Mytilus edulis: one gene and its partner. The protein of the gene in region 2 interacts with the protein of the main gene of each other region in a pairwise test. Links are inferred from orthologs where the notes say so. Each region holds a gene or a part of one and is shown on either strand. Other genes may lie near its edges.

The links. The genes of interacting proteins can lie anywhere in the genome.
Region 1: the proteins of putative E3 ubiquitin-protein ligase UNKL (region 2) and headcase protein-like interact in binary tests that used the Drosophila melanogaster proteins (3 or more experiments, as listed by UniProt). The link is inferred for Mytilus edulis from reciprocal best matches to the Drosophila melanogaster genes unk and heca.

The regions. Positions count from the first base shown.
Region 1 is NC_092353.1:78,627,235-78,634,676, reverse strand, and holds headcase protein-like, read right to left. Parts: upstream 2,884-7,442; 5' UTR 2,677-2,883; coding exon 1,216-2,676; 3' UTR 561-1,215; downstream 1-560. UniProt on the Drosophila melanogaster protein: Required for imaginal cell differentiation, may be involved in hormonal responsiveness during metamorphosis. Involved in an inhibitory signaling mechanism to determine the number of cells that will form unicellular sprouts in the trachea.
Region 2 is NC_092352.1:14,752,366-14,760,293, reverse strand, and holds the start of putative E3 ubiquitin-protein ligase UNKL, read left to right. Parts: upstream 1-4,898; 5' UTR 4,899-4,931; coding exon 4,932-5,017; intron 5,018-5,106; coding exon 5,107-5,316; intron 5,317-5,529; exon of another isoform or gene 5,530-6,153; coding exon of another isoform or gene 6,154-6,164; intron 6,165-6,443; coding exon 6,444-6,745; intron 6,746-7,928. UniProt on the Drosophila melanogaster protein: Essential for late larval/early pupal development.

The DNA.
Region 1 (7,442 bases), on a different chromosome or scaffold from region 2:
CCAACATTCAAGAAATGCTCTGCGATCAGGTGCGGATCAAGTATTTTGAAAAAAGAGGAAAAGTCTACCAATCCAATTTTGTAGTGAGTCTTGTAAGAAGTCTGCATTTATCATATATGAAGCTCCATAAAAGGGGCCTCCCCTACAATCCGACCTCTGGTGAATGTAGTTACATTTCAATTTTCCTTCACAATACGTGTGTGTGTGTTTGTGTGTCTGTTTATGTTCCTGTAGACGGATAGAACGAGAGTGGAAACGTACAAAAACCTTTACAAATTAGTGCTCTAGATCTGTTTTAGCCTGCTCTGATACTAGTATATTAAAACCTTTGTTGATTTTTAAAGAAAAAATACAATACCACATTGTACCACGCTCCAAGGAAATCATAAAGCATGATATTGGGATACATACATGTAGTGACAATTTAAAAAAAATAAAAAAGATATACAACTTTTTTCGAAAGTCGGTTATCCTGTACAATATGCTCATTCAGAAATACTGAACCAGATATAAAATCCACAGAGCGTGAAATAACCACAAGCTACATATCAATTCCAATAAATAATTAAATATTTATTCCAAAAATAAACATATGTAAGAAATGCCATTTCTTTAGTCTCAAATGAAGCAGAAAACGTCATAAGCACATTCTACACGTAACATGTCTTTGCATATTGAATGTCTTTAAATTCATTAAAATAATCCGGTTTCACGCAAAACGTTTTGTTCTTAAATTTAAAATGTCACCCAAATTAAACGTCTAGAGTTATTTGAAATATTTCCTATAAGTTTATAAACCAAATTGGAATTTTATTTAGTTCTGCTTCTTAAAACTAAGAATAGTTCATAAACAAATGATGGATACAAACTCAGCGAGGACACGAGATTAAATCTCTAATGAAGTTTACACAAAAATTACCACATGTCGTATATGATAACGTCTCTGGTAAAAAAAACATGTCTGCACCAAAAATCCACAATGTAGCGTAACATAGTCAATATGGTCCATAAACTAGTTCTTCCAGATATATGAGGAACAATCCCATCCATTCAACGAGACTTGTCGATCCATCTGCGAAACAAATTATGACACAACAGTGTAAAAAGTTCAAGTAAAACGGTAAATTGCTAAAGTTATATATAAAACAAGTAAAAGGCAAATATATTTATATATACGCGCGGAGTATTGTTAACAGAATAAAAGTTCTAAGCAGTTTAGTTCCATATACTCTGTTTTGCTCTAACATTGAAGGCTTCATTGAGCGGTCGTATAAAATGAAAGTCGTACGCCTTGCAGTAAGGACACGCAATCATCCGACTGTATTGACTATAAAATGTCAGACCAGTGTTGACGTCTACAACTGCTCGACGACACTGCTTGCATGTTAGCCGCTTCTGACAGCATGGCGTAGCAGCAAATATATCGTAAGTATACATAGTTCCAAGTTGAAGTGCGCTCCCGTCCCATGGGCATTTGCATGATGCACACCGAATATCTGATCCCTTTTCAAGGCACTGTACGCAGACGGCGTTGATAAACTGCAGACGACCATCGGAGATGACTTGTACTACTCCATCGCCGTAAGCCTGAGGTGACAAGAAGAATGTTCCGTCAATCATAGGGTACCTATCAAAAACGGGTAAGCCGCTCTTACATATAACACAGCTCAGCGAGCAAACCTTGTACGATGTCAAGTGAGAAAGTATAAAGTTCCTGGTATCATCCGTACCATCGTCGTCCATCTTGATATGGTATGGATTCTGTTTATGCCTTGGTAGAAAGGTGAAGGCAGACAGATCTTGGCGGCGCCGAAAGGAAGTGTTTGCGTTAAACGAGTGGACATCTACGGTTTTCGGGCTTTTTGGGAAAGCCGGTTGGTTCAGGTTTCCATTAACAATAGGGGATGACGGCGTCGGTGATGACGAGGATCCAATAGAACCAGAAGAACGCGGTAGACTTCCACTGCTACTGACGCTGTCAGTGCGCGAGCGCTGTGTAGAAAAAATATGGTTCGTGTTGCTGACATGATTGTTGTAAGACGTGTTGTTATTGTTGTTGTTTACATTTGTTGTGTTGATAGGTGCACTGTGAATGTGGTTGTTGTTATGGGGTATGGAGGTAGAAGCATGTCCCCCTTTCCCGTTACTCACCACAGGAGCCGGTTTATCGTTCTTCTTCTTCGGTTTCTTTTTGTTTTTGTTGTCGACAACAGCAACTTGTGGTTTTGGGAAATAATCCAGATCCTTCCGTATATGTCCCCTGCCACATTTGCAATCACAAGCCTTGAAAGCTAGGTCGTAGCCTTTCTTTGTCCACAAATTTTGCAAGCGTTGTTTTTCGCTCCAGCTTCTAGCGCGTCCACACGAGCGTAGATAGGACAAAACCGTCTCCTCCCATTCCTCGAAACAATCCTTGTGCATCCACTTACTGAAGTCGCATGCTTCATTATTGCAGAACACTTTCACAGACTTTTCAGGCTCCTTTGGATTAATCAAATCCTCGGGTGAAGTGCATGTTAGAGGCACACAACACTTGACAAGTTTGGGACCAGCTCTGTTGTCATTTACTTCAACAACAGGCGCCCTCGTTTCTGCGGCGGCTTGTACATTGTTATTTTCCACATCTTTTTTAACAACGTTGTGCAGTTGCACCTTTTGGTGCTTCCGGTGCGGCATGTTTCTATAAATCCACACAATTCAAATGTTCAATCACTAAATATTGTCACAGTATAATCTGTATTTACCGGTTAGTTTTAAACGTGCTAAAAGTAATGCCGGCTTTTACATCCAGTTTATTATTGTTGACAATAACGTAGAACTGCCTACTTTCGTTTAGAACAATAGTTATGATTGGTTAGAAATGCGGTCAGGAATTATGATTGGTTGAATGAATAATCTATGACCTTAGACGCAAGATTGATTATTTTGTTAGAAGTACAAGCATTAATGGTGTATTTTTATTTCTACGCGTTTGTCATAAATAGGTCGAGGACGTTTGTAATCTTAGTCGGTATTTTTCAATAACAATTTTATATTTAAACATCTTTTCTATCAATAGTAACGTAAAGTGTATAATTTTAATTTAGAATGAATCTGGGTTAGGCCTTGCTTTGAGAAATAAATGCAATTGGGGAAAAACATACAATAGAAAGTAAATCGATTGTGCAGGGAGGCATGTAACTTTAAAAAAAAATTTATTTGTAAACAGCTTGCTGGGGTTACGCACTACTAACAAAGGCTTCTTTATATTTTATTGATAAACATCAAACTAGTGAATAAGGAGAGACCTATTTTATTTTAAAATAACTGATGATAAACGTACTTTATTAAAACGCATATTTTCTCGACATTTTTTTTACGATACTATGATCATATATGCGTATAAAATAGTAAAAAGCTATATGCTTTTGCTTAACAAAAAATATTTTACACACTGCAAATCATATCTGAATGACTCAACTACATTAAAAAGGACACAACAATTGTATAGAGTGACTGATAAACAATATCAAAACACAAAAATGCATACTGAGATTTACAAGTGCAAACTCGGGCGAAATATAACAACTGATATTTTGCCAAAATTCTTAATTATGCCATCTAAACAAAACACACGAAACATCATGAATATTTAAAGTGCAGACGCATGCAGCTGTTATTGAAAATCGATTAAAAATTATTATGTAACACCGAGATTGATGTCACCCAGGAACTCTGAAATTAAAAGACAATTTGTTAGAGGTGGGAGGTGTCAAATTATAGAGAATAATCGTCGGTAAAATATTCACGGATCGAGGCGCTATATGGTATTAAGTCGAATATGATACGAGTCAATCGAATTCTACTGTAGCACATACAAAAAGGGGTATATCATATATTATGCGTTCACCCTCCTTGATTGGAAAATGCACCATTTTTAAGCATTAAATGAAAATCGTAACCCCCCCTCCCCCCAAAAAAAATCCAAACGATAAAAACAACCAAAATTAAAAACATACTAGCGCTGAGGGCCGAGTGGAATTCGTCAATATTGCCCCCATTACAGCGGCGGATCCTGCCATTTTAAAAAGGGGGGGGGTCCTAACCCAGGACAAAAGGGGGGGGGGTTCCAACTACACCTCCCCATTCAAATGCATTGATCGTCCAAAAAAAGGGGGGTGTCCAACCCCCGGAACCCCCCCCCCCCCTCTGGATCCGCGCTGTATTAAGGTTAAGAGGGAGTTAATTACCATAATAAATAAACGTCCCCTCATTACACCTACTTACTAAAGTGATCAAAACATCTCGAGAGAAAGTTAGTGTAACAAAGTCTGGTTGTTTCTTTATTTTGATTTCTTTATTTTCTTATTGAAATTGAATGCGGCCTTGACATCGAAAAAGAACCGAATAACTACTGTCAACCCTAGATCATTTAAAGACAAAACAAATACAAAAAGGCATTGTCTTTTTTTGCGGTAAACAGTTAAACATTTCCGTTCTAAACTTGTTTACAATACATAAAAATCGGTATAAATGAGTCATTCGAAATAGTCTAATCAATGAAACAACGGAATAAATGTATTTTCTATGTTGACTAAACATGGTAAATGGTCTGTTCTAAAATTATCCCTGTGTATTGATTTCTTTTTATTCAAAATGAAAAGAAATGTTAAACTTGATGGCGTCGTTACGGGATACAAGACTCTTAGCGCTTACTTCATTAATTGAACCCATATATAACTCAAGCAGAATAAAGATAAAATAAGATGTGTTTTATGAATTCCCAATAAATGAAATTTCCTGTGCCTTGATTCTGATTAAAAGTATAGCGTGACCCAGTCACATAACTGACCGAAGACATAGATATTTCCGACATTATTAACAATATTGGATTTGTTTTTTACATTGATCTTTTCAGACGGTTAATTATTTATTTTTGTAATAAAGATCGTTTATTTTGGTATCAAAGTACATAAAGAGAATCAGGTATTGAGATTGTTACTTAGGTTCAAATAATATAAACCCATTAAAACAAGAAAAGTCCATTCTTAAAAACATTAGAATAAAAGACAGCTGTGTTAAAATATATTTTATATTCCTTTATTCCTGTTTTGGAAGAGGACCTGCAGATACGGGTGCGCTAGTAAGAAATTTGAAAAGGAGTTTTGATCGAGTAAAAAAACCAGGCAGGATGAGGCACTTTGCCAAAAAAAAAGGCAGGATGTCATTTTTATGTAGAAGTCAGGATGAACTAATAACAAAAGGCAGGACTGGGTAGAGTGAAAAATGAAAAGGCAGGACAGAGATTACAACAATCTAATTAAAATATTGATCTCTGATTACGTTATACTACATATAAGTCATAAGTAGTATAACGTAAAACACATATGTAGTATAACGTAATCAGAGATCAATATTTTAAGTGCCTGTCTCAGATAAATCCATGCAAAGTGATCCAGAAGCAAGGTTACAAGATCATCTTAACATTCTGTTACAAGGAAGGTCTTATCATATAATAATTTTAGAAAAAAAAAAAATCCAAAAATTTTCAAGGATTTACCTTATAAAGGGCTGTTTCTAAAAATAGAATTTCTATCAAGATTAAAGGTTAAAAACATGCAATTTTTGATAAAATAGACATTAAAAATACCTTTAATGAATATTTTGTAGGCATTTTAGTATGGCTTTATCATAAATATGAACCAATATAAAACTAATGATTATACTTATGTTGACCTCTCAAATTTCCTTTTAAGTGCAGCAAGGTCACCAAAAGGTCAAATTTCAAATTGCATGGTTTAGACTGAGACAAACACTTAATTAGATTGAGATTACAACTAAAAAACCACCCAGGACATTTGTTTTATCCTAGCCAGCCCCCTTTTTCTCCCATACAAATCAAATGGTATCTACCTAAGTAAAAACAAAGTTTGAAAAACAAAATCACAACGCATGTACTCTGCAGTGGCGGATCCATAAATTTTCATAAGTGGGGGCCCACTGACTGACCTAAGAGGGGGCCCGCTCCAGTCACGCTTCAATGATTCCCTATTTAAGCAACCAAATTTTTTCCCAAAAAGGGGGGGCCTTGGCCCCCTGCCCCCCCCCCTAAATCCGCCTCTGCTCTGAAAGGATAAACATCTTCTACTCTACTAGAGTATACAGTCTGTCGTGTGATGTTGCTCATGACAGCTAAAAATCTGGCATACGGTGGTATTCTGCAATGTCATAAAGGAGGGAAGGATCATGGACTGGGGTTACAGCAAAAGAGAAGAGGGGTGAAATGCGGGTGCTTCTCTCCAAAATCCCATCATAGTTTTTTTGTTATGTTTTATCACTTCCCACTACCACTATCCAGTACCCACTTTTAAGGCTCGACATCCCACATTCCCATTTTTCGTCCTCTGTATCACACATCCACACTTATTTATCCTTATAATGTATGATCTAACATCATACAAGTGTGATTGCAAAAACTTAAAGTTGTAAAGCAAGCCCTTGAATATCGTACCAACTGGGAAATCTACACCATAAGAATGTGACTTAAATTGAAAGTATCAGAGTAATCACTTTCGAGGCGTAGCCGAGTTATTTTTGCGTAAAAACGGTAATTGAGGCTGAAAGTATCGAGTTCAGTTGAGCATGTCGAACAATCAGATTAACCTTTTGTCATCAATCAATCATCAATTAATACATTTATTAAAATAGCTGATGCATGAAAAGTCGGTCGAATAACAAAATCATAATTAATATATTAGACAGGAGAACATAAATAACATTACGTTTTTCTGTCTTTTTTTATGCATGATTATGTTGTTTATTCTATAAATTTCCTCCTAATGTCAGTAATATAACATGGCATAATGTATAATTTAACATCAAGGTTGTACAATTATCTTCATTATTTATTAGTGCAATTTACCTATAACGATGTATTTTATGTATACATATGTTTGTGAACGAAAGACGATAACAACTTTGCACATTATTTATAACATAGACTATTAAACGAAATCAGACAGTGTAAAAGTGTCAAGGAGAAAACCGGTTGAAACAACTTTCGCTTTCACTTTTTTACCTATAAAATTTTAAAATGTTTAAAATATTCATAAGCATATATGGAAATCTTATTTTTCTTTCCTGGATATCAGATGTTGATGTTAGTGTTACATAAACATAAAAAAACGCAATGAATTGTGATTGTATATATCACAACTGACTTATAATTTTATTTTTCAATTACATCCATATCAAAACAAAAATATAAGGAATATAACATAGTGCAGAGAATTACAGTAAAGAACTATTTAACCAATTCCCAATTTCCCGACATGTACATTAAGTAAGCCTGAAAGCCTCATACATTTACCATAGCGGGTTTTTTAAAACGTTAAATGCTTAATACCCAGTGGCAAATATTGTGTGCATTTTTTAACAAAATTTGTTGATGTATGATCAAAATG
Region 2 (7,928 bases):
AAATTTATTGAATGTTTTTTTTGTTTTTTATATATACAATGATTTTTGGTATGTTATGTTGATAAAGCGCAAATTCATAATCTTCAAGATCTTTCAAAGCGATTTGTGTTTAAACCGGCCGACATAGCAGCCAATAATGTGGTGGCGATGTGCCGTAAATAATACACAGACATTGTTCTATTAAGAGTGAAATTCCAAATTCATCTACATTTAAGTCCGTGCGCTCCACCGACAGTTATACAGAAAACAAACATGTCGTAACCACATCACAGCTATAGACTTCTTTCGAACATTTGAAGGTCCCTTCTATGTATTGGTTACCTTAACTACACAGACAAAACAAACCCGTCAAATATCGGTTCATCTCGGCCTCTTGTAAGTGTTCTACAACTAATCTGTCAGTGCTTTTAACTATAGTTCATTAACTACTATCAAAGAACTTATCATAAACTTTTGTAATAAAATATATGAACATAGTAGAATTAACTATTTCGAAGTGTAAAAAGTCTTTGGATGATTTCGATAGATTACGTGCTTTTGGTGGTCCTTTTGATTCTGTTGACAGTTTTACCTTTTCAACTCATTACACTACACTTTCAAACAATTTTAACAAACAAAAGTGTTCCTATTTAATTAAATGGTAGTTTGGTAAATCTGAATGCAAATATATTGACTGCAACTTATTAAAAGCCTTATTCTCTAATGAGAAAGGTAAATATGCTAGTTTACTTATTGGAGATGTGATGAGATGATCGAAGCTGTTAATTTTCTCCTTGATACTATTTTTTTACGTTTAGGCAAAACAGTTTGTCGACAGGTTGTATGTATTCCTATGGGCAACAGTTGCACCCCTTTAATAGCAGACTATTTTTTTGTATCATACGTGAAGGTATTTCACATCCAATCTCTTATGGTAATACTCTTTACAAAGCACAAAACTGTCGGCATTCACCCCAAAAGCTTACAAAACCTTTCAACAGACTTATTACGAAGGGATATAGTTACGATACTGTTGTAAGGACATTGAAGATGGCGTATTTTGGTATTAATATTGATTCACTCATAGAGTCTTTGCATCGGATATAAACATATGTATTCGTAAACCAGTTGTTGGCATGCTACGGGTTATTTTCTTCTCATATATTTTATGATGGTATGATACTAACCCCTATCGGGGGAGATTGTGCTTGGTTTTCTTATGATGAAAACATAATCTTTTAATCAGGTTAACTGAGGTCTAGAGCTAGCATGTCAGTAACTGCTAGTAGTCCTTTGTTAATCTATGTATTATTGTCATTTTGCCTAGTTTCTTTTGTTACCTATTCTGACATCGGACTCGGATTTCTTTTAAACCGAGTTTTGCTGTGCATATTGCTGTGTGTTTTTTGTTTTTCTACAGTGGCTAGAGGTATAGGGGAGGATTGAGATCTTCCATGACTTTTTGTTTATCTAGATGTTTTGGAGTTTAGTACATGGCGTCCATTATCACTGAAATAGTATACATTTTCATTTAGGGGCCAGCTGAAGCCCACCTTCGGTTGGGGAATTTTCTCGATGTGCTGAACAGAGGCAGATTTAGGGGGGGGGCAGGGGGCCCGGGCCCCCTCTTTTTTGGAAAAAAATTTGGTTGCTTATATAGGGAATCACTGAAGCGTGACTGGAGCGGGCCCCCTCTTAGGTCAGTCAGTGGGCCCCCACTTATGAAAATTTCTGGATCCGCCACTGCTGAAAACCCATTGGTGACCTTCATTTTTTTGGCTCTTTTGTCGTGTTGTTGTCTTTTAGGCACATCCCTCGTTTCAAATCTCGATTTTATCTTAACCTATGGTTATGAAATCAAACAGAACCAGACAAATCCCAGTGCACGAATTCGCTATTCATATCTCTTCTTATGTTCCTATCAGATGGCCATCGGTAGTTTTCAGATATCACATCGATTAGATGGCGTCTTGACTAAAATGTACACCAAAATGTTAATACATATTAACGAGCCCATGCATTATAAAATGTTTATTTTAGACTCTTTTTTCAAATTTACATTTACGTTATAGAATGTTGTTTATCAAATACGATAATTAGTCAGATCGGTGAACATATATTTGACCTTTAACCAATTCGTGGAGGTGACCGTAATCATTTGAAGTGATTTGAGTCATTCTTTCTCATAACCATATTAGTTGATTTTCAGGGCTAAAACAGATTGTTAATTATCCCTGAGACTACTATAACATATGTGTTATAGTAGTCTCAGATTATCCTTATATTATTCGTCATTCTGCAACAGTTATACGGACTTTTCTAACGCCTTCACATTTTGAGCTTATTTTAGTATAAGAGTCTACCATTCTGAGTTACAGATCGAGTTTACGTTTGGTTCTAGCTGATTTTAGGACATTGAAAATGTCATACAAATAACAGTTACACTGAATTTCCAATCCTCAAATGACTTTTTTGCGAGCGGGGCAATTCGTGTCGTTCCGACCCATACAGTTTAATGATTACAAGCAGAGCAGCGATATAAAATGAGGAGATGATGTATGATTGCCAGTGAGACAGCTTTCCACTAGAGACCAAATGACGTAGACGTAGAAGTTTAAAACATCTATAGGTCATCATACGGCCTTCAACAACAAAACAAAACCCATACCCCATAGTAAACTTTAAAAGGTCCTGAAATGACATAAAGCAATACAACTAAACAAATAACGAACTGATTTATTTACAAAACAATAAACGAAAGACAAATATGATATACAGCAACAAAGTAAAACCACTGAATTACAGGCTCCTCACTTGGGACAGGCAAAATAATAGTGACCAGGGACGTGAATTACCGACCCTTAAAGGAGAGGCAGTTGAGTATCAAAAGTTTTGGACCAATTTTATGCAGAAAAAAACTGAAAACTTCTAACACAAGCACAAAATAATGGTGACCGGATGCGGACATTTCCTCTTTTCGTGTTTTCACGTTTTCTCCTTTTAATTTGCAAACGTGAAATCGGAAAAAGAGAAATCGAAAAAGCGAGAAAGCGAAAACGCGAAATCGAGAAACAAAAGAATGCACTCCTATGGGTACCAATTGCGCTTCTTTAACAGCAATTTTTTTCCGTTACTGTAATGATCGAATCACAGTTAAAACCCAAAATTCAGTAAAGAACCACCAAAATTCAATTTATCTTCAAAATCAACAGTACTTAAAATATAAACAGCAATACATGTCGATCCTTTCCTAGATTTAGGTATATTAGTTCTACTCTTGGAACTCCTCAGCCGTAAATTACACAGAGGCATGAAGGCAGTTGCCTCCTGTTGCAGGTTCACACAAAAAAATACAGAAAAGAAAAATCATCGGGTTAAAATCATGCATTATTTTAATAGCACTAGTTACTATCTTAACCAACAAGGTGATTCAAAGCAATCAAACACACGCAGTTCTACCCAAATAGAAAACAAATACTGCTGACAAAGAATGACCGTATACAGATTTAATTATTGAAGCTTATTACACAGATTTTGATACAGATTCCAAAAAGGAGGGCACTTCAGTTGTAGAAAGTTTCCAATGTTGAACAATAGACAGATGAAGACGTATTCGCCCGTTTGCCAAAGAAGTTTCAAGACTTAAAATGATATATCATGTATATGTTACATAGAGAATAATACATGATGGCAAAATCCGTATCATATGTCGTATCATCCCGAGACATCACTATCAGCCCAAGGGCCTTTAGGCCCGAGGGATGATATTGGTCGAGGGTGATACGGCATGTGATACGGATTTTGCCATGTATTATACGCTTTATCATATATTTCAACAGAAGAGTATTATATTATATGAACTGTTTTCTGATCCATAGCACTGGGTTAATACCTTCAGTTCTACTTTTGTCTCGTTTCAAAGGCCTTAAAAGAACTGCTCAATTACTTATCCGAAGCACCTGGGTTACCTTACAATTTGCGTGCTGTTGTTTAAAAAAAATTTGTTTATTATTGTATTAATTTGTGTGTTTTGTATTTTCCATAGTTGCATTTAGTGTGCCAAAAAATATGAAAACTTGACGTTCGTGACGTCACATACAATATGAAAACTCGACGTTACAGACTTTATGTAAAAAAAAAAAAAAAAAAAAAGTAGGGGTGTGATAAAGGGTATGCGATAAAGGGTGTGCATCAAAGTTGCGCGATATGGATTACACAGCAGGCTATTTATCACATATGCAAAACTACTGTATTTACTACTAAACATATGATAAACTGATATATATATTGATTAAAATATTAAATATTTTGAAAGATATTGGCAAACTGATGTCTATAGTCATATGGTACAATATCAAGTTACTAGACTTGTAAACTGTGTGACCTGGTAGGCTTCAACAATAGTAAAACCACACGCCAGTATTATTTGAATGATGTGTTTGTCTCGCACATTGGTTTGGAAGGACAGTATATTATATACTGTACGCGTAAAGTAACATGGGACACTAACTTTTTTGTTGCAAATTAGAATGGGACACACTTTCTTCACGTGTATAACCATGGTACTTTATTTTTTAATATTTCATTTCAGTTTTTGCAGTTGTTCCATGCCCGATATTTTTTACTAGTCCATATGCTAAGGATTTGACAGTCAGCATTTTTTAATTTGAATGAATTACATATACTTCTATACAAATCATGGAAGGCTTCCACAGGATCAAACTAAGTATAAACAAAGTAATGGGTAAATAGTGCGTTCAGTATTTAAATATGCGTTTAAAGATATTGCAAGTTCATCTTTTTTAACTCATTTAGGCTTGATTCCGTTAAGCACGTTTGTTTATTTACTTTCTCAGTTTGACAGGTGCGCGCATAAAAACAATAACTTTTAGCACGTGTCTTGAATCATCCAATCGAAAAAGCCTTAAATTTGCGAATCTGCGTCAGAATGAATGCGCATTAAAACATTATTGACAACAAAAATGCCGTCTGAAAGCCCGGTGGTTGCTGCTCAAACTGAGAAACCACAGCATTATTTGTGAGTAAATGATTCATATCTCAATACTGACAGCTAGTGTGTCTTTCTGTTTATCTGTAAATGGTTAAAATGTCTTCGATATATTGCAGGTATTTGAAGGAATTTCGAACACAGCAATGTCCTCTTTTTCTGCAACACAAATGCACTCAACACCGACCCTTTACTTGTTTCCATTGGCATTTTCTAAATCAACGAAGACGAAGACCTGTTCGAAAACGCGATGGAACGTTCAATTACAGTCCTGATGTCTACTGTACAAAATATGACGAGACAAATGGAGCCTGTCCAGATGGTGACGAGTAAGTAAATATAGAGAACTGTCAAATATCGAAATGTTTAAATTTTGGTGGGAAACCCAGGGGGAAATTCTCAACCTGCTTTTACTTTCTTAAGTTAAGAATCAAAACATGACAGCTGTATAAGTTGATCCATTCTTCGAAACCGGTAAATTTTATAGCAAGTGCACGAAATTGCAAACCGCTTATTCAGCATTAAAATGTTTTAATTATGGCATAACATGTTGTAAACAAATATGGCGGACGTCTATTTACATCTCCGTCATTGTTTGTAAACTAACCCATAATCTATTGAATGAACAATTAATTGACTTTAGTAGGGTATGGTATTAGTCTGACCTTTTAAGAATGTTATTAATGCAAAATTTGTGTATGAGATTCCCCTTTAAATTGAATGAACTTTAGTGAGAATTAGAATATCAGATTGCATCCTTTGTTAAAATAGCAGATCTTTATTTTTAATGAATGAAAAGTTTCAGATTGATTTTGCAAGAGCTGAATTTGTATTTACAAATATATATGATTCAAGAAATAAGTTGTCATGATTAAAAGAATGTGATTGACTTAGTTTTGATATAACACAATAAATTACTGAATCAGCTGGTTACAAAAGACATGCGTAGATGTTATTTGGAAGAATTTTTCTTGGCCTTGACCCAGATTTTATTTATAGAAAGTGTTTACAAGTTCAGAATCAATATAAAGGAAATGGTGATCATTGTAATCAGGTCTTTCTGTTGATGAGGATTATGTTTAATTAGTGTAAACTAAAAAAGAATGCATTTGGAAGAGGGAATATAATCGTGAGATTTTTGCTTGCAAATTGCCTACAGGGACATTATGACAGATAGGTAATTATCAATAACTGATCTTAAATTACACATGCTTCTTTTGCATAGTTCTTTGCAATATTTTAAAAGGTTAGTCATATGTGTGCATTATATATTTTGGTTGCATTTAATTTATGTTTATACATATTTATACTCAGTCATACAGAGCATGCACAACTGTCTATTTGGGCAATGTGCCTGTAGAATAGAAACTTTTGTCTAGTTGAAATTTGGTTAACTTCAAACACGACTATTAATTAATTTATTTTAATTAATATATGTTTATATTATATTTTACAGTTGCCCATACTTACACAGAACTGCAGGAGATACAGAAAGACGTTATCATCTTCGGTATTACAAGACTGGTACATGTGTTTATGAGACAGATAGCAAAGGAAATTGTGTTAAGAATGGCCCTCATTGTGCCTTTGCACATGGTGCCCATGATTTGAGGCCACCCATTTATGATGTTCGAGAATTACAAGCTATTGATACCATAAATATTAGTTGTGATAAGAGTTCCAATGCTAGTTCTATATCAGGAACACCAAGTAGTTTAGAAAAGGATAAAATTTTAGCTGAAGATCCTAGATGGAATGGTAAGTTATAATGAAACAATTTTTGTTGCCTGCCATGCATGAAAATGGCACATGGGTTTTACCATACACCAACTGTGAAGCTGTAAACTGTTTATTAAAAGCTTTATATTTCAGGAGGTTGAACTGGATGTTTCATACCTTATGTGCACCTTTTGATTCAAAGTTTCTGTCTGCAATATGTCCATTGTCCTTGGCTCCAATTTCACATTTTAATGCATGAAGTTTTACCCTTGTCTAGTGATCTGTAAATAAGTACAAAATTTGGGTAAAGTCACTTTCACGGTTCTTGAGTTATATCCCTATATAACATTATATGCAGCATAGGGGGCATCATTTGTGTTCAATGAACACATTTTCCCATTTATTTTGTAAGTAAAAGGTTGCTTATCAATGCTTATTAAGAGAAATTATATAACTAGATTTAGAATATACATGTAGGTTCCTTGCAAGGTTGACATGTCTATCATGAAAAGGTTGACCTAACCTCAACCTTATTCCATGGATCACTCAGTGATCAAGGCTAAAAGTAAAGTGGACAAGTCCATATCTCAGATACATGTACAAGAATCTATATGTCAACTATATTAATTTGGTGACCAGAAAATTTGTAATGTGTACATGTATGTTCATGTCCGACTGACAGGTTTCATCCGACTTTACCTCAATTCGTGGTACATTGGACAATATTCAGAAAAGGATAAATTTTGTTTATAATCCTGATTTTAATTAGTAACATAAATGTGCATTCAATCATTATGTCATCAAGTTTATGCAGTAAGAGCATGTTCACTTCAACCTCACTGTTTGTTAAATCTAATGTAAGTGCATGTAGAACTGCATTCATGCATGCAGAGAGGAATTATCCTTGTCTAGCATATCATAACCTATAAAAAATTTAATCAGCCTTAAGCCACTAAGTAAAGAATATCTTTTTATGGAATACAAAACAATGACAGATTAAAGAAGGAAGATTAATTTGGATTTCTTAAAATGCAAAATTTTTATTCCATTCATAACTTGTACATAGTTAGTGTAAGTACTTGTACTGCTTTTTATGTAGCTACAGGTGAATACAAACTGTGTTTTCATGCAATTTGAATGATCTGAGCTGGGTTGACATAAATATTGTTTCAACATTAACTGCATTATCAATTCAGAATTTCAGATCAGTCAGGCCTTAGTT